Stegostoma tigrinum: one gene and its partners. The protein of the gene in region 3 interacts with the protein of the main gene of each other region in a biochemical or structural test. Links are inferred from orthologs where the notes say so. Each region holds a gene or a part of one and is shown on either strand. Other genes may lie near its edges.

Evidence for each region. The genes of interacting proteins can lie anywhere in the genome.
Region 1: the proteins of peptidyl-prolyl cis-trans isomerase FKBP1A-like (region 3) and ryr3 form a complex in vitro, tested with the Homo sapiens proteins (2 studies listed by BioGRID). The link is inferred for Stegostoma tigrinum from reciprocal best matches to the Homo sapiens genes FKBP1A and RYR3.
Region 2: the proteins of peptidyl-prolyl cis-trans isomerase FKBP1A-like (region 3) and glmna form a complex in vitro, tested with the Homo sapiens proteins (2 studies listed by BioGRID). The link is inferred for Stegostoma tigrinum from reciprocal best matches to the Homo sapiens genes FKBP1A and GLMN.

The regions. Positions count from the first base shown.
Region 1 is NC_081363.1:67,235,374-67,242,525, forward strand, and holds the start of ryr3 (ryanodine receptor 3), read left to right. Parts: upstream 1-4,139; 5' UTR 4,140-4,204; coding exon 4,205-4,252; intron 4,253-7,152. UniProt on the Homo sapiens protein: Cytosolic calcium-activated calcium channel that mediates the release of Ca(2+) from the sarcoplasmic reticulum into the cytoplasm in muscle and thereby plays a role in triggering muscle contraction. May regulate Ca(2+) release by other calcium channels.
Region 2 is NC_081361.1:86,511,253-86,518,941, forward strand, and holds the start of glmna (glomulin, FKBP associated protein a), read left to right. Parts: upstream 1-4,676; 5' UTR 4,677-4,760; intron 4,761-4,826; exon of another isoform or gene 4,827-5,167; intron 5,168-7,689.
Region 3 is NC_081372.1:6,545,538-6,553,215, reverse strand, and holds the start of peptidyl-prolyl cis-trans isomerase FKBP1A-like, read left to right. Parts: upstream 1-4,661; 5' UTR 4,662-4,757; coding exon 4,758-4,794; intron 4,795-4,967; coding exon 4,968-5,015; intron 5,016-7,678. UniProt on the Homo sapiens protein: Keeps in an inactive conformation TGFBR1, the TGF-beta type I serine/threonine kinase receptor, preventing TGF-beta receptor activation in absence of ligand.

The sequences.
Region 1 (7,152 bases), on a different chromosome or scaffold from region 3:
CTGTTTTCTATCACTGTGTAAATTAAGCCTTTTGTTCAGTTCGTGAGTGAAACGGACAGCAAGCAATGCGGTTCTCCAAAACTTGCTCACCACCTACAAGGCACAAGTCAGGAGCGCATTGGAATGCCCTCCATTTGTTTGCATAGGTGCAGCTCCAACAACAATCTAGAAGCTTGACACCATCCAAACAAAGCAGCCATCTTGAGCAACAACTTAAAAAGGAGTTGAACAGCTCATCCACTTCACCAACACCTTCCACCCCAACCTTAAGTTTACCTGGACCAAATCTGGTACCTCTCTTGCCTTCCGGGACCTCTTTGTTTCCATGTCTGGCAAGCACCTCGAAACCGATATCCATTTCAAGCCTAAGATAATAAAATGTGAGGCTGGATGAACACAGCAGGCCAAGCAGCATCTCAGGAACACAAAAGCTGACGTTTCGGGCCTAGACCCTTCATCAGAGAGGGGGATGGGGGGAGGGAACTGGAATAAATAGGGAGAGAGGGGGAGGCGGACCGAAGATGGAGAGTAAAGAAGATAGGTGGAGAGGGTGTAGGTGGGGAGGTAGGGAGGGGATAGGTCAGTCCAGGGAAGACGGACAGGTCAAGGAGGTGGGATGAGGTTAGTAGGTAGCTGGGGGTGCGGCTTGGGGTGGGAGGAAGGGATGGGTGAGAGGAAGAACCGGTTAGGGAGGCAGAGACAGGTTGGACTGGTTTTGGGATGCAGTGGGTGGGGGGGAAGAGCTGGGCTGGTTGTGTGGTGCAGTGGGGGGAGGGGACGAACTGGGCTGGTTTAGGGGTGCAGTAGGGGAAGGGGAGATTTTGAAACTGGTGAAGTCCACATTGATACCATATGGCTGCAGGGTTCCCAGGCGGAATATGAGTTGCTGTTCCTGCAACCTTCGGGTGGCATCATTGTGGCAGTGCAGGAGGCCCATGATGGACATGTCATCTAGAGAATGGGAGGGGGAGTGGAAATGGTTTGCGACTGGGAGGTGCAGTTGTTTGTTGCGAACTGAGCGGAGGTGTTCTGCAAAGCGGTCCCCAAGCCTCCGCTCGGTTTCCCCAATGTAGAGGAAGCCGCACCGGGTACAGTGGATGCAGTATACCACATTGGCAGATGTGCAGGTGAACCTCTGCTTAATGTGGAATGTCATCTTGGGGCCTGGGATGGGGGTGAGGGAGGAGGTGTGGGGACAGGTGTAGCATTTCCTGCGGTTGCAGGGGAAGGTGCCGGGTGTGGTGGGGTTGGAGGGCAGTGTGGAGCGAACAAGGGAGTCACGGAGAGAGTGGTCTCTCCGGAAAGCTGACAGGGGAGGGGATGGAAAAATGTCTTGGGTGGTGCCCGCTTTGCAGAACACCTCCGCTCAGTTCGCAACAAACAACTGCACCTCCCAGTCGCAAACCATTTCCACTCCCCCTCCCATTCTCTAGATGACATGTCCATCATGAGCCTCCTGCAGTGCCACAATGATGCCACCCGAAGGTTGCAGGAACAGCAACTCATATTCCGCCTGGGAACCCTGCAGCCATATGGTATCAATGTGGACTTCACCAGTTTCAAAATCTCCCCTTCCCCTACTGCACCCCTAAACCAGCCCAGTTCGTCCCCTCCCCCCACTGCACCACACAACCAGCCCAGCTCTTCCCCCCCACCCACTGCATCCCAAAACCAGTCCAACCTGTCTCTGCCTCCCTAACCGGTTCTTCCTCTCACCCATCCCTTCCTCCCACCCCAAGCCGCACCCCCAGCTACCTACTAACCTCATCCCACCTCCTTGACCTGTCCGTCTTCCCTGGACTGACCTATCCCCTCCCTACCTCCCCACCTACACTCTCTCCACCTATCTTCTTTTCTCTCCATCTTCGGTCCGCCTCCCCCTCTCTCCCTATTTATTCCAGTTCCCTCTCCCCATCCCCCTCTCTGATGAAGGGTCTAGGCCCGAAACGTCAGCTTTTGTGCTCCTGAGATGCTGCTTGGCCTGCTGTGTTCATCCAGCCTCACATTTTATTATCTTGGAATTCTCCAGCATCTGCAGTTCCCATTATCTCTCTCCATTTCAAGCCTACTGACTCACACAGCTACTTAGAATATACCTCCTCTCACCCAGCTTTGTGTAAAAATACCATCCCCTATTCCCAATTTCTTCACCTCCGCCACATCTGCTCCCAAGATGAGGCATTCTACCCCCAGACATCCCAGATGTCCTAATTTTTCAACAATCGCAACTTCCCCTCCACAGTAGTCAAAACGCCCTTGACCATGTCTCTCACATTTCCTGCAACTCATCCTTCCCACCCCTTCACTGCAACAACAAAAACAGAATATCCCTCATCCTCGCGTACCACCCCACCAACATCCAGATCCAGTGCATCATCCTCTGGCACTTCTGCCATCTGCAATCTGACCCCACTACCAAAGGCATTTTTCCCTCCCCACCCTTATCTGCCTTCCAGGGGGACCACTCTCTCCGTAACTCCCTTGTCCGCTCCACACTCCCCTCCAGCCCCACCACACCCGGCACCTTTCCCTGCAACCACAGGAAGTGCTACACCTGCCCCTCACCTCCCCCCTCACCCCCATCCCAGGCCCCAAGAAGACCTTCCACATCAAGCAGATGTTCCCCTGTTAGGGGAAACCAAGCGGAGGCTTGGAGACCGCTTTGCAGAACACCTCCGCTCTGTTCGACAAGTGAACCTCCCACTCCTTGGACGACATGTCCATCCTGGGCCTCCTGCAGTGCCACAATGATGCCACCCGAAGGTTGCAGGAATAGTACCTCATATTTCGCTTGAGAACCCTGCACCCCAATGGTATTAATATGGACTTCACAAGCTTCAAAATCTCCCCTCCCCCCACTAAAATCACAAACCCAGCCCAGCTTGTCTCCGCCTCCCTAAACTGCCTTTCCTCCCACCTATCCTGCTTCGGGTGACTGTCTGTGTGGAGTTTGCACATTCTCCCCGTGTCTGCGTGGGTTTTCTCCGGGTGCTCCGGTTTCCTCCCACAGTCCGAAGATGTGTAGGCTAGGTGGATTGGCCATGCTAAATTGCCCGTAGTGTTCAGGGGTGTGTGGGTTATGGGGGATGGGTCTGGGTGGGATGCTTCAAGGGGCGGTGTGGACTTGTTGGGCCGAAGGGCCTGTTTCCACACTGTAGGTAATCTAATCTATCCCCTCATCCCACCTCAAGCCGCACCCCCATTTCCTACCTACAATCCTCATCCCACCCCCTTGACCTGTCCGTACTCAGTGGACTGACCTACCTCCTCCCTACCTCCCCACCAACACTCACCTTTACTGGCTCCATCCCTGCCTCTTTGACCTGTCCGTCTCCTCTCCACCTATCTTCTCCTCTATCCATCTTCTATCCGCCTCCCCCTCTATCCCTATTTATTTCAGAAGCCCCTTCCCCTCCCCCATTTCTGAAGAAGGGTCTAGATCTGAAATGTCAGCCTTCCTGCTCCTCTGATGCTGCTGGCCCTGCTGTGTTCATCCAGCTCTACACCTTGTAACTTAAAGCGTCACTCGCCTCTCGCTCATCCTCACATACAGCTTTGATCATGTCTATAAGATGAACTGCAGCAACTTTCCTAGGCTCCAATTAGTTGACATAAGTGACTTTTACTGTGGAGAAATTTAAGGGCACACCTGGAACTAACTGGGTCAAAATCCTACAACTTTCTCCCTAACTGCACTGTGGGTGTCCCTAGCTCCTGGGGACCGTGGCCGTTCAAGAAATTCACCCACCCACCTACTCATGGGCTATTAAGGACGGTAAACAAGTGCTGAACTTGCCAACCCATGCAATAGATAGTGTTGACCGTCTTTGTTCCTTAATAACCGATAACATCGCGAGCGAGGTGCCTCGATCATAAATAGTAACAAAGAACAGCGTGTTATCTTCACTCTGCAGTGAGTGGATTTTGGGATTATATTTGGATTACCGACAACTTCCCCCTTAATGTGAAAAAGTCAACACGGAGTGTACGTTGCTGCTGTCGGAATTTGCCATGGAAGGACAGGCACAGGGGTAGGGACAGTGGGCTGATTGACAGTGGGTTACTATAGCACTCGGCGTGACCAGCCTCCCCTATAAGGATGTATATGGATCGGTCTACGCTAATACTGGAACAGGAGCCGTGTGCTGACAGCAGAGGGAACGAAGGGTCCAGCGTGTGAGCGGAGCCGGCTCTTCAAACAGCCATGGCTGAAGGGACTGAAGGGGAAGATGAAATTCAATTCCTCCGAACTGTGAGTAAACGACTTGCCCACAATCTAAATAAAAGCCGAAAGAACTGAGGATGCTGTAAATAAGGAACAGAAACAAAAATTGCTGGAAAAGCTCAGCAGGTCTGGCAGCATCTGCGAAGAAAAAAAACATCAGAGTTAACATTTCGGGGTCCGGTGACCCTTCTTCAGAACTCATCTGGGTTGCAACGTTAACTCTTTTTTTTCCTTCACAGATGCTGCCAGACCTGCTGAGCTTTTCCAGCAACTCCTGTCTCTTGCCTCCAATCTCGTTAGCAGTCTGACGCCTTGAGCGGTTAAAGTCGTTCGATCTGATGCTGTCCAGCAAACATAGATTCCGGCGCTGCAGGAATGTAGTGAGAAATTGTCGGACAGCCGAGCAGTTTTACATTTAATTGTATTCGCCTTTAGTGAACTTCTTCGCCCTACCCTGGTGTGATAGGCGCAACCCTATTTCTGGACGCTTCTGTCACACACCAACAATAAATTCCCATTCCGTTGGGATCATGCCGTGCCGTGAACTTTTACAGCGTCTTTCTTGAACTCTCTCCTCTCTGCCTCTGGGAGATTATCTCAGCAAAGATTCTTTATCCACCGAGGTAATGCATTAACACCGGCTTGAAGTTTGTCACGCAGCAGATTTGGTTAACAGGCAGGGCAAATGATTTTTTTAATGTACATTAATCAGATCAGGTTCGAAGTTATAACGAGTGGCGCATGGTAGCATCTGTGGAAGACGGTGGTTTCCGAAAGCAGAGCTGTGGAGACTTAATTCAGGCTAACTCTTACACAAACTGGATTTCCTCAGGCACTGACTGGGCTTTCCCCAGCTAAGAGGTAGCGATACAGAGCTCGAAGTTCATCAGTGCTAGAGCGGCGGTGCCTATTTTTGGAGAGGTGACTGTGGTCTATGTGCGGAATGTGCCGCCCCACAGTTGGACTGTAAGCGATACGGACTGGCAGAGCACACTCGCTCAACAGGTGCATTGTATCGAGTACTCCCCCCTCGCTAGGGATTGTAACACCACGCACTGCTCAGCGGCTCTGGGAACAGAGAGACAGAGGGAGAGAAAGAGAAATACTCAGGAGTAGCAGCTTTTAATTTTGTTCTTTGTAAGGTTGAGGTGATGCGAACTTCACTTAGACCGTGGTGAAGTTTCAGTGCCATTGGGACAGTCCAATGTAAAGACGGCTTCAAATTTCACTCAAAGAATCATACAGCTCGGGAAAAGACCCTTCGGCCCACAACGCCTGCGCTGACACATGACGCCTTTTTAAATTAAAAATCTTTTTGTCTGCTCAGTAAATATCCCCCATTTCCTCCCAACCGATTCATGTTTCTGTCAAGATGCTTCCTGTATCCACTTCTACCACCTTCTCTGGCTGTCTCCCCAGGCACTTACCACCTTCTGTGAAAAAAAATGCTTCTCATATCTCCTTCAAATTCCCCCCCTTTACCTTAAACTTATGTCTCCTAATAGTTGAAATTTCTAATCTGAGGGAAAAGAATTCCATTTATCCATTCTACCCCTGCCTGTCCTTAGTTCGTAAACTTCTGTCAGGTCACTCTTTAGCCTCGAAGTTCAAATGCAAATTTTGTCCAATTTCCCCTCATAGCAAACACCCTCCAAACCAGGCAGCATGCTGGTTTAACAAAAAGTTGCTAGAAAAGCTCTGCAGGTCTCGCAGCATCTGTGAAGGAAAAAAAAAGTTAACATTTCGGGTCCAGTGACCCTTCCTCAGAAGCTTTTCTGTACCCTCTCCAAAGTGTTCACATCCTTCTGTGGCATCAGAACTATACACAATATTCCCAATGTGGCCTAACTGAAATTCTACACAGCTGCACACATTAATACAATCTAGGAAAGCTACTCAGTAATGGTGCCCTAAAAACATCGCCAATTATTGTAAATTGGGTTTGCTGTGTCCTTCAGGGAAGAAAATCTGCCATCCTTACCTGATCCGGTCTACACATGACACCTGCCCTTAAGGCAATGTGGTTAACTCATAATTACACACTGAAATGGCCCAGCAAGCCACGCATTTCATAAGAGTGATTAGGGATGGGCAATAAATGCTGGACTTACTGGCGATCCCTACATGTCATCAATGAGTCAAGAAAAATTGGGAAGATGGTGCTTGAGTATGCCTGCATCCTCCTTTATCAGACATTAGCATCACAACCCTTGCCCTCCATCTCCACAAGTGAAAAGCACCGAAACTTAAGTCTTGAACATATATGCCCTGAGAAATAATTACGTTTCTTTCTTAATCTGATAGTGGAAGCACTGCACTTATATGAGACTAAACAAAAATATATGCTTAAGTGTTGTAGAAATTAGCGGGTTAAATGGGGAGAGTGCAATTTAATTGGAGATTTCTGTCTCACTGCTGTTCACAAGGCAGAATCATTCTTTCAGAGTATTTTATTTAATTGAGATGCTGGAGTCACTAACAAGATATTGTGTTCCTTACTAAGCTCTTGGAGAAGATAATTTGGAATAAAACAAACCTAAAGCACTGTGGATGCTGGAAATTAGAAACAAAAACAGAAATTGCGGGGAAAATTCAACACGTCCGGGAGCATCTTTGGAGTGACTGCAGCGCCTTTTCCAGTGTATGGCAAGGGTGTAACAGTGATATTTTTAATCTACTTTGAACAGCATAATCTCTGTTACGATGGGTTCTGGTGGTATGTTACAGTTGCCTCAGAATCATAGAATCCCTCAGGCATTGGAGCAGACTGATCAGCCCATTGAGTCCACACTGACCATCCAAAAAGATTTCACCCAGAACACACTCCTAGCTTATCCCTGTAACCCTGCACTTCCCATGGCTAAACCATACAGCCCACACTTCCTGGACACTATGAGCAACTTAGCAAGGCCATTCCACTGAACCTG
Region 2 (7,689 bases), on a different chromosome or scaffold from region 3:
AGACCCTTCATCAGACAGCACAAAAGCTGACGTTTCGGGCCTAGACCCTTCATCCCGAAACATCAGCTTTTGTGCTCCTGAGATGCTGCTTGGCCTGCTGTGTTCATCCAGCTCCACACTTTGTTATCTTTCAAAAAAGTGGTTGGTTTTCGACAGGAAGGGAAATCAAGGAGAAGAAGCACTGAGATAACAAGGTGTAGAACTGAATGAACACAGCAGGCCAAGCAGCATCAGAGGAGCAGGAAAGCTGACATTTCGGGCCTAGACACTTCTTCAGAAGCACCATTGTCTTTTGTTTTGAACACCTCTTAGCATCTGGCTTCAAGCACATACAAATTCTCCAAGTGTATTGTATGGCTTACGATACCCAATTTGAAAAACAGGGAATCATTATCACTATACAAGTGAAATCTCAATCAGCTGTCCACTTGGGATGGTGCAGTTGTAAAAATTCAGAGAAGAGATAGACAATCAAAGGATTGGATGAAATAGCATTTCAGGGATAACAAAGTATGGAGCTGGAGGAACACAGTAGGCCAGGCAGCATCAGAAGAGCATGAAAGTTGACGTTTCGGGTCGGGACCCTTTCCTCTGAACTTTACCTCTCCCCTGATGCTGCCTGGCCTGCTGTGTTCCTCCAGCTCCACACTTTTCTCTGACTCTAGCATCTGCAGTTCTTGCTATCTCTCAGCATTTTAGGGAGCTGTGTTATCAGGACGTTGTCAGATTCCAGTTGGAGTTAAAACCAACTCCAACTCAGCCAAAAGGTGAGTTAAAAAGTAGCAAGATATGTTTGTTATTTGTTGCCAGCATATGACTGTTGGAGATTTTTTTCTAGGCAAAATATCTATTGATGGTATCTTGAAAGCATTCAAATTATTTAAAAGCATTGAAGCTTGGGTCAAAAGAGATACATATGAAATGTTACATGTATGACTTATTTAACTGATGTTGAAAATGTTTAGGTTTTAGACAAGAACGTATGTTTGTTTGAAATAAAATGCATTTAAAAACTCAGGTAAAACCTGTGTGCACTAGTTTTCCAGTTGAATTACCAATGATCTCCTTAGGAACAAAAGGATTATGTCATGCTGTCAAACTGCGAATAAGCAGTCAATAAAAAGTTTATATCAGTATAATTCACGTTAACAAAAATTATAAACAAAGTATGGTCAGAATACAGGAAAATAATTTATTATTGGGAACAAAGAAGCAGTCACAGTATGAAAATTGAATCTTATTATACAAGAAGAAAATCTAGCAGCTGCTAGATCTTTCCTAAGGCACTAATCATTACTAGGGACTGGCTAGTACACAGTTTTGTAGCCCATGGCTAGCTTCCTAAAACAGTTCAAGACCACATACCAAAGAAACATCATGTTATAGTGAAACTTACAATGAGTTTATGTATTCCGGATGTATTTCTAGGACATAATCTAAAACAGAATGCTATGCAAATAAACCTATTAACTCATGTTGTCCTTTTAATTTAATACTTGACTAATTAGTCAATGATAATGGAGTTAACAACAAAATACCTGGCATCTTTTACAGTTCATTACTATGTTAGATTAAAGTATATTGATGTTGTAAGGTCAACAATTTATTTGCTTCTAATGTTAATTGCGTCCCCTTTGTACTGAATTTGTTTATTTTTCATTTGCTCTAAGAAAAGAGGTGAGGAAATATTAAAAGGTTTTAATTCATTGAAATGCTGGAAATTTGCTGGCACAAGTAAGTGTAGAAATTTAGTAAAATAAAACTACTGCATATTAGATATAAATGAGCAATATAGATGAAAACAAAACTTCATATGCGAGGATATCTCAAAATGCTTCACAGCAAAACAGTCTATTCTTGCAATTCAGTCACTGCAATTTTGAGGGCAAACAACAAACAACTTATTCCCTGAATCATGAGGGAAGTCCTCAATCTGCTACAATTTAACATTGTCATCATTCTTACATGTAACAACTTCCACATGTTTTCACGACATCCCATTACATATTTTGATTGTAAACACAAGTTATTTTGATAGAGGAATTGAAAACATTTTCAAATCAGATTCAAATCATTTTCAAACAAGTACATCTTTAATTCGAATATATCAATCCTGACATACAATTGGGTATTACTGAAAACAAGATATCTTCTCAAAGTTTTGTACCGTACTCTATGTACAATTTGCAAAAAATGCCAATTCAAGGAAAAACCATATTTTTACTGCATGAGAGGAAAATATTGGTTGATTGGCAAGATTGACAATTGACAGTTAACTGCTGGGCCTGTTTAAATTTTAACAGGGCAGGTTGACTCTAATTGATCAGGGCATTGTCCTATGAAATGAACCAGTGAATTGCTATCACCTATTTTCATCGAATCCCTAGAATGTGGAAACAGGTCTTTTGGCCCAACACGTCCTCACTGAGCCTTACAGCAAACCCCCCTGCCCAACCCACCTAATCTACACATCCCTGAACACTACAGGGAACTTAGGCTGGCCGATTCACCTAGCCTGCACATCTTTGGACTGAGGGAGGAATGCAGAACACCCGGAGGAAACCCCTGCAGACACAGGGAGAATGTTCCACACACAGACAGTCACCCGAGGGTGGAATCGAACATGGGTGCCTGGCACTGTGAGGCAGCAGTGCTAACTACTGAGCCACCCTGCTGAGAAACAGTACATATACATATTCTGTCTGCAAAGAACAAGGTCTTATATTAATATCTCCTGCATACACAACTGCACCATACTGTAAGACTGACAGACAAGCACAGAATCCTTAGTGTGGAAGTAGGCCATTGGGTCCACACTGACCCTCCTAACAGCATCACACCCAAACCGACCCTCTATCCTATCCCTATAACCCTGCATTTCCCCATAGCTAATCCTACTAGCTCGACATCCCTGGACACTACAGGCAATTTAGGCTGGCCAATTTACCTAGCCTGAACATCTTTGGACTGTGGGAGGAAACGAGAGCACCTAGAGGAAATTGACACAGACATAGAGAGAACAAGGAGACTACACTCAAGACAGTTGTCAAAGGTGACATTCCTGACTTGTTTTTCAGTGAAATTCCTTGTAAACTCACAGTTGTCCAGCAAATTTTGTCCAGTGCAGAACCACATCTAATGTTGGACACAATGTTGCAGGTTGGGCAAATCAGTATCTTGCTTGTCGTGATCAGCTGAAAGATTTGCCAGGTGATAGGATCTGCCAATTTAGGACAGACAGCCTACATTAGTCATTCACCTTCTGTGCTTTCTGGTTCTCAATCTTTCCTATATTGGGAACATCTTTTACAACCTGCTCTGTCCAGATGGCTCTTGATTTTGAAGGAAGGGGTTTCAGGATTTTGATCCAGTGACAGTGAAGGAATGGCGCTATAGTTTTCAAATCACGATGGTCTGAGACTTGAAAGAGAACTTTCAGGCAGCGTTCCCATGCATCTGTTGTCCTTATTCTTCTAGATGGCAGTGCTCAAGATTTTGAAGAGTGTCCCAGGAGGTTTAGTGAGTTGCTGCAGTCAATTTATATCAGTTACACATTACTATTAACTGTACATCCTTGTTGGAGGAAGCAGATTTCAAGGTGATGAATGGGGTGCCAATCAGGCATTTGCTTTAATTTCAAATAATGTTAAGCTTATTGAGTCTTAAGAGTCATACAGGACAGAACCAGACCCTTCAATCCAACCAGTCCATGCAAACATAATCCTAAACTAGCCTTACCTGCCTGCTCCTGGCCCATATCCCTCCAGATGTTTCCTATTCACGTACTTATCCAAATGTCTTTTAAATGTTGTAATTCTACCCATATCTGCCACTTCCTCAGGCAGTTCGTTCCACACATGAACCATGCTGTGTGATTAAAATTTCTCTCCTCCTAGCTTAAAATGTGTCCGCTAATCCGGAAATGGCCATCCCAAGGAAAAGACAACTACCATGAAGTCTATCTATACCTTTCATTATTTATAAACTTCTTTCAGGTTACCTTTCAAACCTCCTATGCACCACTGAAAAAGTCACAGCCTTTCCATATAACTCAAACTTTCCATATTTGGCAAAATCCTGATAAATCGCTTCTGAACCCTCTCCAGCTTGACTATATCCTTCCTATAACTTGCTGGAGCTGCATTCATCACAGCAAATGGAGAGTATTCTGTCACAGTCCTGACTTGTGCCTTCTGGTTGGTAAACAATTCTCCATCATTCCCTCTAAACTGCTCCTGCATTACAGATTATTTATAATGGATGGTTCAATTGCCTTTCTGGTTCATAGATTTACTGAGTACCTTATTATCCAACATTTTCTGTTGATTTTAATCAGGTTTCCAGCAACTAGAGTATGCTGTCATTTGCTCCACGGTGCAGATTTTTAAATACAGAGATATATGTATTGACAGACAACCTGAGGGTTTTGATAACAAAGTGTGGGGCTGGACGAACACAGCAGGCCAAGCAACATCTTAGGAGCACAAAAGCTGACGTTTCAGGTCTAGACCCTTTTTTCTGATGAAGGGTCATCTTTTGTGCTCCTGAGATGCTGCGTTCATCCAGCTCCACACTTCGATATCTTGGATTCTTCAGCATCTGCAGGTCCCATTATCTCTGAGTGTTAATAGTTGGGAACCATGGGAGGCGTGGCCACATAGTATCACGTGATCGAAAGGAAATCCGTCCCCCTTCCAACGTAGGATTGCGTCCTGAAAGTGCGCCTGCTGAAGGGGATATTGCGCAGCTGCGTCGTGAAGGTAAGTGGGATAGTACGATGCTGTTTAAACCCAACCGTCAACGGTTGGCACGTGTGTCTCAGCCGGTCAGACATGGCGGGGGATCGCTGATGTTACCGTCTGTATCTTCAGCTATTACGAGTGGAAAATGGATTTTTTATTATTTGGGCTGAGTCGATTGGAGGGGATTTAGATTACTTGCTGATGTCATGCGCAACCTAATTGCAATCGTAAATCCATCCACTGTTTAAGTCTATTCTCACATGAATTGGCAAAGAAGTTGCAACTCACTCCTGGCTGTAACCCCTCTTGCGTGTTTGCGACGTGCAGCACTCTCATTCAAAGTCTCACACCTAAGACAGTGACAATACCAAAGTGATTCCAACTTCCCACTCAAGATCCAGAAGAAATAGCGGAGGGTTAACAAGGTGTGGAGCTGGATGAACGCACCTTCTAGACACCTTGTTACCTCATTTCACACTACCTGTTTGTTAGTCATTGAACCCAGCCTAATCGTTATCAACTCCTTTGTCTATCCAGTTGCTCTTCTCTTTCTTCGGGCTGTATCCTTTATCCTTTGTTTACTCCCTACCCCGGCACCCTCCCTATATTCTCCCTACAAACCGATGTTTTCCGCAGCTACTGTCAGTTGTGAGGAAGGGTCTCTAGACTCAGAACTTAATTTTGATTTCTTCACAGATGCTGCCAGACCTGCTGAGCTTTTCCAGAACCTACTGGTTTTGTTCCTGATTTACAGCATCTGAAGTTCTTTTGGCTTTTATTGCAATAGTGTAATTGGATATTGTTTGCTGGCCTCCGATTCAAGATAACATCTACTTAAAATCACAAGTTTTTTTCAAGCAAACAAGCAAGAAAGTTCTTGACTTTTGGGCATTTTGCCTCTTACGGTCCTGAAATGATGAGATCTGGAGTGCAGGATTTGTTGTTTTTTTTATTCCCCCTCCTCTACTACTGATCTTCCTCATCTTTAAGGCATTTGAACATAAAGTATTATGCAGTTTGATGGACCAGTTGTTGCCATCTTGAATGATTCACAAAATCTCCTGCAGTGTGGAAGAAGGCTATTTGACCTATGAGTCCGTATGGAGACGTGGGAAAAATGTGCTAACTCCACACAGTCGCTTGAGGCTGGAATTGAACCTGGGTCCTTGGCATTATGAAGCGGTAGTGCTAACCACTTAGTCAGTGTGCTGCCCAACATAGCAATTGGTGAAAAGCTCCTTCCAGTCATTAGAATCAATGCTGTCATGCTTCAAGTTTTAATGCATTGTGATATAGGAAACTGAGTGTTTGCAATATGTACCACTCAATATTGAAAAAAAAAGTTAGTTTGAGAGTAGGCAATTTAGTTGATAAGTGCACTTTGTTTTCCAAAGTATTCAGGAATGGCATTGAATGACAAGTGGGTGCATTCACGTTTAAATCAACTTTATTAAGTCCAAAGAGACAATGATGATCATCAAAGGTACACTGAACTGAACAAATTTGGCAAACATTTTCAGTAACTATGCTACCTTATTTTTTAAAATTTAAGCCTTTCAATTCATTTCTGTATTATTTACTGCAAAGACACTAGACTGTAGCAACTCTACAGCCACCCGAAGTCATTGAGCCAGAATCAAATATCATCAATGATATGCTGTTTCACTAAATAAGAAAATTCTACTATCCTAAATCCACGATAAAATCCTCCTTATGAAGCGTAGCATACAAAAAACTTAGCCATATGCAATTGGGCGCACAGTGGCTGAGTGGTTAGCACTATTGCCTCACAGTTTCGATTCCACACTTGGGTGACTATCTGTGTGGAATTTGCACATTCACCTCATGTTTGTGTAGGTTTCTCCCACATTCCAAAGATGTTCAGGTTAGGTGGATTGGACATGCTAAATTGCCAGTAGTGTCCAGGGTTGAGGAGGTTGGGTAGATTAGCAATGGGAAATGCGGGGTTACAAGGATAGTTTAGGGGGTGGGGTGGGTTTGGGTGGGATGCTTTTCGGAGATTTGGTATGGGCTCAATGGGCTGAATGACTTGCTTCTTCCCCACTGGGAATTCGATGATTCATTTCAGCATTATGGAAAATTGTGATAAGGCAGGAGGTTGTCTCCATGTTGACAGGTAGAGAAAGCTGTTTGTGTGGCAGAATTGCAGTGTTTGGGTGTGCAGTCTGTGCAACAAATGAAGCAAAGCTGAAAATATGAAGAGTTTTAGACTGTAAATAATAAATATTGCAAGCTAAACTTTTGATTTCCATTGTCTTGCTCATTTATGTGAAGAAGTACTATGGTGGGAAGTTTTCTTGCCTGATCCGTTCAATATACACTGTGAAATGGGTACATACAGAATAGCACTCCAGCTCTCCCCAGAAATGTACCTGTACAGTATAGCTTGGTATTACATCAAAACCAAAGTGGGATAAATGATTTTACAGAATTTTAATGTCCAATACACAGTATGAATCTCATACCCAAAACTGTAGGCCCTGCATGAAAAAAAAATACAAGCCCAAACCAGAAAACAAGATCTCTTTTCAAATCCGCAATCATAAGAAGGCCCTTCTTTCTTTCCAGTGTTGTCTTACTCATCCTTTTCATTTTGCTTTCCATCCCATTCTTGCCTTCCTCCAAAGCTTAAAAACTAGAAGGATTCAGCTTGGCTATTCAAATTTTCTCAACTTTCTTTGCTTTTGTAACCTTCCAATCTGGAAAGCTTTGATTTTCAGAAGGGCTAATGGGCAAGCTATGCTGTGTGTTTGAGTCATGTGTCATTTCAAACACATGCAAGCGATTTTAACATGTATTTGTTTTGATTTCTGATGAACAACCTGAATGTTGCCTATGGGCAAAGCCCAAGTTTATAGTATCCAACCCTTGATAGGGATGCTAATGTATTACATGCAAGCCATCCTCATCTTTTTATTTTGACAAT
Region 3 (7,678 bases):
CAGCCGATGGTGTCTATACTAATGGTCAATTGGGCATTATTACCTAATGCCAATCTCCTGCTTTTTTTCTGTCCCTATGTATTTCTATCTATTTGGTCATTGAATGCCCTCTTGAATGTTTCAATTAAACCTGCTTGCATCCCACTTCTAGGCAGTACATGCCATTTCCCAAATACTGTACTCACCACGTATAAACACTTTTCTCACATCATATTGTTCATTTTGCAAACACTTTACATCTATGTCTTCTAGTTCTTGTTCCTTTTAGAAGTGGGAACAATTTCTCCTCCACTGTCTACAGTATATTCTTAATTTTGCAGACCTCTATCAGATCTCTTCATCATTCCAAAGAGAACAAAGAATCCCAATTTCTTCAGTTTATCCTCATAACTGAAGTTTGTCATCCTTCCTGTAATGTGGCACCCACAACTATACACAATTCTCCACGTGAGGCCTAAAATGCATCATATACAAGTTCAACATTATCTCTAACACTAACTAGTGTACTCCAAACCACAATTAGTGAAGCCCAGAAGACCATGTGCATTATCAATTGGTCTCTGCACCTACCTTGCCACCTTCAATGATCTGTGCACATATACATTCAAGTTCTTCTGTACCTGCACCTTCTTTAGACTTGTACCCTCTATTTTCTTGTCTTCCAATGCTCCTCCTGTCAAAATGTATCAACTCACACTTCTCTATATTGAACGTCATCTACACCTATCTGTCCACTTCACCAATTTGTTTACTTCGAGTTCTAAACTACCATCCTCAGCTTACAATACTCCTGAGTTTCATGTCTCTGCAAATTTTGAAACTGTCTCCTGCACACAAAAATCTAGATCATTGATATATATATCAGGAAAATCAAAGATCAAAAGGAAGATGGAACACATTCAACACAGAAGAGAAGAAAGCCCTGCAAAGACTCAAGAAAGACAGTAACATTGTGAACTTACCGGCAGGCAAAAGATGCATGCCAGTAATCCTCAACAAAGCTCAAAACATTGAGAAAGCTAATGGTCTAGTAGAATATACTAACACCTGCCAACAGATGGCAATATATCCAACACCAAGTTAGGAAAGCGGATTGCAATGACCCTGAAGAAATTACGCAACTCAGGAGACATCAGCAAGACAGGCTACCAAAAAAAAAAGAGGAAGCCAGAGGGATCCAACACATCCCGATTCTACGGATTCCCCAGGATCGCCCTAAGGACTCCCTCAGACATGCTGTCTCACTGCCAGGTAGACCAACATATAGACTTGCCAAAGAACTACACCAAAAATTAAAATACTTAGTGGACAATACCACCCACTCCATCCACTCATCTCAAGGATTCCTCAACATCATCAAGAACACCAGGATAGAAGAGAATGCGATGATGATATCCTTTGACGTAACAGCACTATTTACATCCATAAACATTGATCTAGCCAAAGAAAGAATTGCCACACTGCTGGACGAATCAAGCAAGCCAGCAACCCAACACACCAACATCAATAAGGACACCACCATGAAACTACTATAGCTGTGCCTCACAACCCACTTTACCTTCAACAACAGCATACATGAACAAATCAATGGAAGACCAAAGGGATCCCCAATATCAGGACTGATTGGACAGCACTCTCCACTATACAATCCAAACTTTGGGTCTGATATGTAAATGACACATTTGTGATCATCAAACACACAAAGAAGAAACGCACCAATAAACAACATCCTTACCGGGATAAAATTCACAAACAACTGACTACCCTACCTGGGCATAATCGTAGAATGCAAAAACTACAGGGAACTCCAGGCTCGTGTATATAGCAAGACCACACATATGGACCAAATATTCAATTACACTAGCAACCACCCCAACACCCATAATCGGAGCTGCATCAGGCCACTATTTAAATGAGCCACAAGACTTTGCAGCGTGTCAGAACTATGCAAAGCAGAACAGGAACACTTACACAGAGCCTTCAAAAGAAATGAATACGCAATAAGCACAATCCGCTGTTACCTCTGAGGCAGGCCACAACAAGATTCGGGGCAGCGCGGTGGCACAGTAGTTAGCATTGCTGCCTCACAGCACCAAGGACCCGGGTTCAATTCCAGCCTCGGGCGACTGTCTGTGTGGGATTCCTCCAGGTGCTCCGGTTTCCTCCAACAGTCCAAACATGTGCAGGTTCGGTGGACTGGCCATGCCAAATTGCCCGTAGTGTTCAGGGAGGCGTACGATGGGTCCGGGTTGGATGCTCCAAGGTTCTGTGTGGACTTGTTGGGCCGAAGGGCCTGTTTCCACACTGTAGGGATTCGAATTCTAAATCTTTAAAAAAAACCACATGGCCAGAATCACTAATCACCCTACCATACATCAAGAATATTTCAAGGATGAACACAAGACTACTCAGACCCCTAGGTATCAGACTAGCCTACAAATGGACAACCACCTATGACAGCTACTGACGAACGTAAAAGATCCCATACCCAAAACCAGCAAAACTGAGGTGATATATAAAATACTATGCAAGGACTGTAATAAACACTACATGGGCCAAACCAGAAGAAAACTGACCAACTCTCACTGGTCACGCGACACAAACACGGAGGGATATGAATTCAACAGGGACAACACATCGAAAATTGCACAAGCCAAACAGACACACCAGGGAATTTTTGGAACCCTGGTATTCCAGTCACAAACACATTGGTTTGTACACAGGATCTAATTCACTGAGAAACAAAAAGTAAAATCAACCACCCCAGCAAACCGAAGCATATAGATAACAAGCAGGACAGAACACCGATGCTTCACCGGAGGCACTCCGACAATGTTACCTAGCAGGGTAACAAAACATTTGCAACCAAACCCATCTGCTCAGTGACATGTCTACAACCTCAAACATATCCACGGACAATTACAGTCAATTCTGAAGAGTCACTGGACCTAAAACATCAACTCTCCACAGTTGCTGTCAGGCCTGCTGAATTTTTTCCAGCAGTTTCTGTCCTTGTTTCTGATATCCTGCATCTGCAGTTCTTTGATGAGGAGCTGGAGGAACACAGCAAGCCAGGCAACATCAGAGGTGGTGGTTTTGGCTTGGGTTTTTCTGAAGAAGGGTCCCAACCCGAAACATCAACTTTCCTGCTCCTCTGATGTTGCCTGGCTTGCTGTGTTCCTCCAGCCGCACACCATTATCTCTGACTCCAGCATCTGCAATTCTTACGATATCTGCAGTTTTTTGCCTTCTTTTACTATTACACCTTGTTTCCAATCATGCAATCAATTTAGTATCCATGATTGCCAGTCCTTTTTCTCCTATGGCTAATAATCATGGTAAAGTCTGTTGTGAGGTGCTGCATCAAATACCTTCTGGAAGTCATGTTCATCACATCAACCACATTGGACTCATCAAACCTATTACCTTAAAACAATTCCAGTGTGCTAGTCTAACATGTCTTCCCCTTCAGAAATCCATGCTGACTCTTACAAATGAACGCAACTATTTCCATGTGACTAATTGTAAGCCAGATAATTGTTTCAAGGAGCTTCCCCTCCACTAGAGTTAAACTGACCAAACCAGAACATATTTTCTGTTCATGAGCGATAATTTTCTTGACAGTGTGTTCTATGGTTTTTGGGTAAACTGCAGCTGTAAATAATAGTGCATGTATTGTTTTTAATAAAAGCAGCAATGTTTGTACAAAATGTAAACATGCATTTTCTAGCTTACACATTTTTAACCTAATATTTGTTTTACAACGTGAAGGTACATATTAAAGGTAACTCATTGAGCAACCAATAACAGTAGAAAACAAAAACATCAAAAGATCAGTTGTAATGGGGTATCAAATGGAGGATAAAGTTCATGCGATAAGTTGCTTCAACACAATGCTGAGTCCAGAAAGTTACAAACTGCCCTATTCCAAATTCCTCCAATTTGCATTGGGCTTCACTGTTGAGGCTATTCACATACATTAGTAAACTGAAACACAATTGTGGAGTAACAACTTCAGCCACTCAGTCCATTCCCTCTGTTTAATCAGAACATGCATTTCAACTTGTATTTTCCAGCTCTTATTCATACCACAGTCGAATCATTAATGCTTCTCTCTGCAGATGCTGCTGAGTTTCGCACAGAATAATTGAAAACAGAAACTGCATTCGTTTATCTCGGAACAAGTATCACTGGACTCGAAATATTATATACTTTCCCTCCACAGATCTGCGGGGCTCCTGTAAAGATTCTTTTCAGGTTTTTGTTTGTTTGTTTCAGATCTCCAAAACCCGCAGTTCTATGTTTTACTCTCTTTTTATTTCATGTTTGGGTCTTTCACTTTACCTGCCTTACTTCAACAGAAAATATCGAAACCTCATCGATAGAAACGTCTCGGACTAAAACGCAGTTGGACTTTACAGACAAAACCTGCAACGAAGGACTAACAACCGCAAAATCTAGCCTCAGGTTTCCAGAATGTTCCAGGAGAGCCCACTGCGGCGGCGCATGCCGGCCAACCAATCCGATTCGAAATCCCCGTCCAACGACTCCTCATCCGGGCGTTTGGTGAAGCGGGATCCCGCCTACCCTTTGCCCATATTAGGCGCTGGTGGTCAGCCTTTCGCTCCTAATTGGCGAAAGTCAGTCAGAAGCAGAGCTCTGATTGCTCCGCGTAGCAGCCCGCGCGCTCCGCCCCTCTGAGTCCTCGGCGTGAGGGAGGAGGAGGCTGATCGTCAGGCTCGTTGTTGAGCGAAGCCATGGGAGTGCAAGTGGAGACTATCACCCCCGGAGATGGTATGGCGTTACCAAGCAATTTCCCCATGGCGATAACTTCACCCTGGGCAGGGGCATGGATGAGAGGCCTGGTCTACTGCGTTTCGGGGGAGGGAGAGTGTTTTTATTTGCGGTCGGGCTGTTGTTTTTAATGCAGCAGTCGCCGAGTCTAATCTGCGTCTTTCCTCTCTCAGGGCAAACCTTCCCCAAGGCTGGGCAGACCTGCGTTGTTCATTATACGGGTGAGTAGAAAAGGATCCCACAGTCGTCTCAACTCGGTGCGGGATCATGGCGTGTAGGTGTTAGGGCGGGGAGGTAGGTGCTGCGCGAAGGTGGGTCCCCGCGGTTGCCGGGGCCGGGGATGGCTGTGGCGGGCGAAAGCGACCGCTACAGGAGCTGGGATTGTGGATCCTTATTCTTTCCCCCGGGTGGGGGTGTGACTCCCTGCCGAGGAGGTGGAGGAAGGCTGGAGGGAATGAAGGAAGAGGATGCTGATAGATAAAGAATGCCTACAGTATAGAAGCAGGCCCTTCGGCCCAACAAATCCATACCGAACCTCAGAGCATCCCAGCTAGCCCCCCCCCGCCGTAACCCACCTAAATCTACATCTCCCTGAACACTGGGCAATTTAGCATGGCGAATCCGCCTAACCTGCACATCTTTGGACTATGTGAGGAAACCAGAGCAAGCAGTGGAAACCCACTCGGACACAGGGAGAATGTGCAAACTCCACACAGACAGTCGCTCGAGGCTGGAATCGAACCTGGGTTGTGGCGCTGTGAGGCAGCAGTGCTAACCACTGAGCCACTGTAATGCCTGGGTGCTAGTGGAACCCGTTCTGTGGTGGCGTTTGGCTGTGGGTCCTTGTCTGTGAGAGTCTGCAGTAAGGATCCCTGTGGGGAATGTCAGTAATTGGGGACCCTGAGCGTATTGAGTTTGAATCTTTGGTGAAAGACTTGTTAGTGGGGGACTGCAAGAGTAGATATTAGACAGGGGCAAATAGGACTGGGTAGATTTCTGTGGCACGGCTATAAGCATGGATTCCTCTTGGGAGGTGAAGTACTGTAGAAACTTGAGGATGGTGCTGAAAGGGGATCACTGCTGGGGAGGCATGTTGGATTTGATTCCAAGTTGGAGTCATGAATAGGGAAAAAGAATCCTTGTTAAAATTGTACAGGTATGCTGTAGCCATACCTACAGTAGTGTTAATGAAAAGGTGTGCCCACATAGGAAGTACAGTGAAGGTTCACTCCATTAGTCCCTGTGATTAAAGGGTTGCTGTATGATGAGTGGCTGAACAAACTGGGTTTAAGTTCTGTGACATATAGAAGATTAGATTCCCTACAATGTGGAAATAGGCCCCTCGGCCCAACAAGCCCACACCACCCCTTGGAGCATCACCACCCAGACCCATCCCTGTATAACCCACACACTCCTGAACACTATGGGCAATTTAGCATGGCCAATCCACCTAGCCTGCACGTCTTTGGACTGTGGGAGGAAACCCCACACAGACACACAGGGAGAATGTGCAAACTCTGCACAGGCTGGAATCAAACCCGGGTCCCTGGTGCTGTGAGGCTGCTCTGCTAATCACCGAGCCACCATGCTGCCCATTGATCTAATGATTCAAGGCTCTGAGGGGTAAGGTCACTGATGTTCAAGGAATCCAAAACACAGGAGTGCCGTTTTAGCATAAGACGATTTTTTCTTCTGGGACTAAGAACTTCATCCTTCTCCACTTGGAGGATTGAGTCCCTATCATTGAATACTTTTAAGCTGAAACCGACAATTTTGATTCCTCAGCTAATTGAGTGATCTGGGGAGAAGCAAGAAAGTGGAGATGAAGCTGGAGATCAGCCATGATGTGTATTGAATGGCAGAACAGATTTAGTGGATCTCATGATCTTCCCTATTGGAGGGGTTTCCCCCTGTGGAAGCGAGTTTCTGTGGGGAGGGTGCTGCTGTTGGAGTGTGTCACTACCTGGTAGACACTGAGCTGTTGTGGTTGCTTTTTGAGTCTGACTGTGAATCTCTGAAGGGTGTGGGGCTGAGTGGTATACTGTGGTTGAGATTAGGACTTGGTGAGCTCTGTGGGATGTTGGTATGAGTTAATTCGTAGAGGGGCCGAAGGTTGTTAAGGTTGCTGGTTTGAGATAGGCTGACTATACCTGCAGTTGTGTGGAGCCTACTGGCTGTACTGCACAGCTGAGATTGGGTGCAGCCTGAAGCAGGTTGGGGAGACTGGTTTTGAGATGACATGAAGGGTTCCCAAGGACCCTGGAAAATCTCTCCTCATCTCAGCCTTAAATGGTCAGCCCTTATCCTGAGTGTATGGTCTGTTTTAGATTCCTGAGCCAGGAGAAACAACACTCAGAAGTTTACCCTGTCAAGCCTTTCAGAATCATATTTGTTAAAGTTCCAGTGATGCTTCAACTCCAGAGGGCATAGGCCCAAAAGTTTCTCATAAGCAGCCTTAATGGAGTTAATGTGGTAAGACTTTGCTGTGCCTCAAGTGGTTTTTCAAATGTCTGGTGCAATTGTAGCAAATCAAAATACCTACTGTACATTTTTGGGGGACACATTTTATAAAATTAGGTTTTTTAAGTGGTTAAACATGACAGCTGACGTTTTTTGGTGATAACTTGCTTGCCAGGATGTGTATTGGGGGGACTGCAATGATTAGTCAAAAAATCTAACATTTCATTCGAGGGGTGGAGCTTTTGTTGTGAAGAGAAACTTGCTGTTGGGCAAGTGCTTCTTTGACCCAATGCCTTTTTGAGAACATGAGCATTCTTATAACTTTGGTCTTGCAAGTCTCCGGATCTCTCTATCACATTGCCTTCATTTGCACAGGCTGTGGCCTTTCTCCTAAAACTCGTTGCCATCATGTCTTCTAATGACC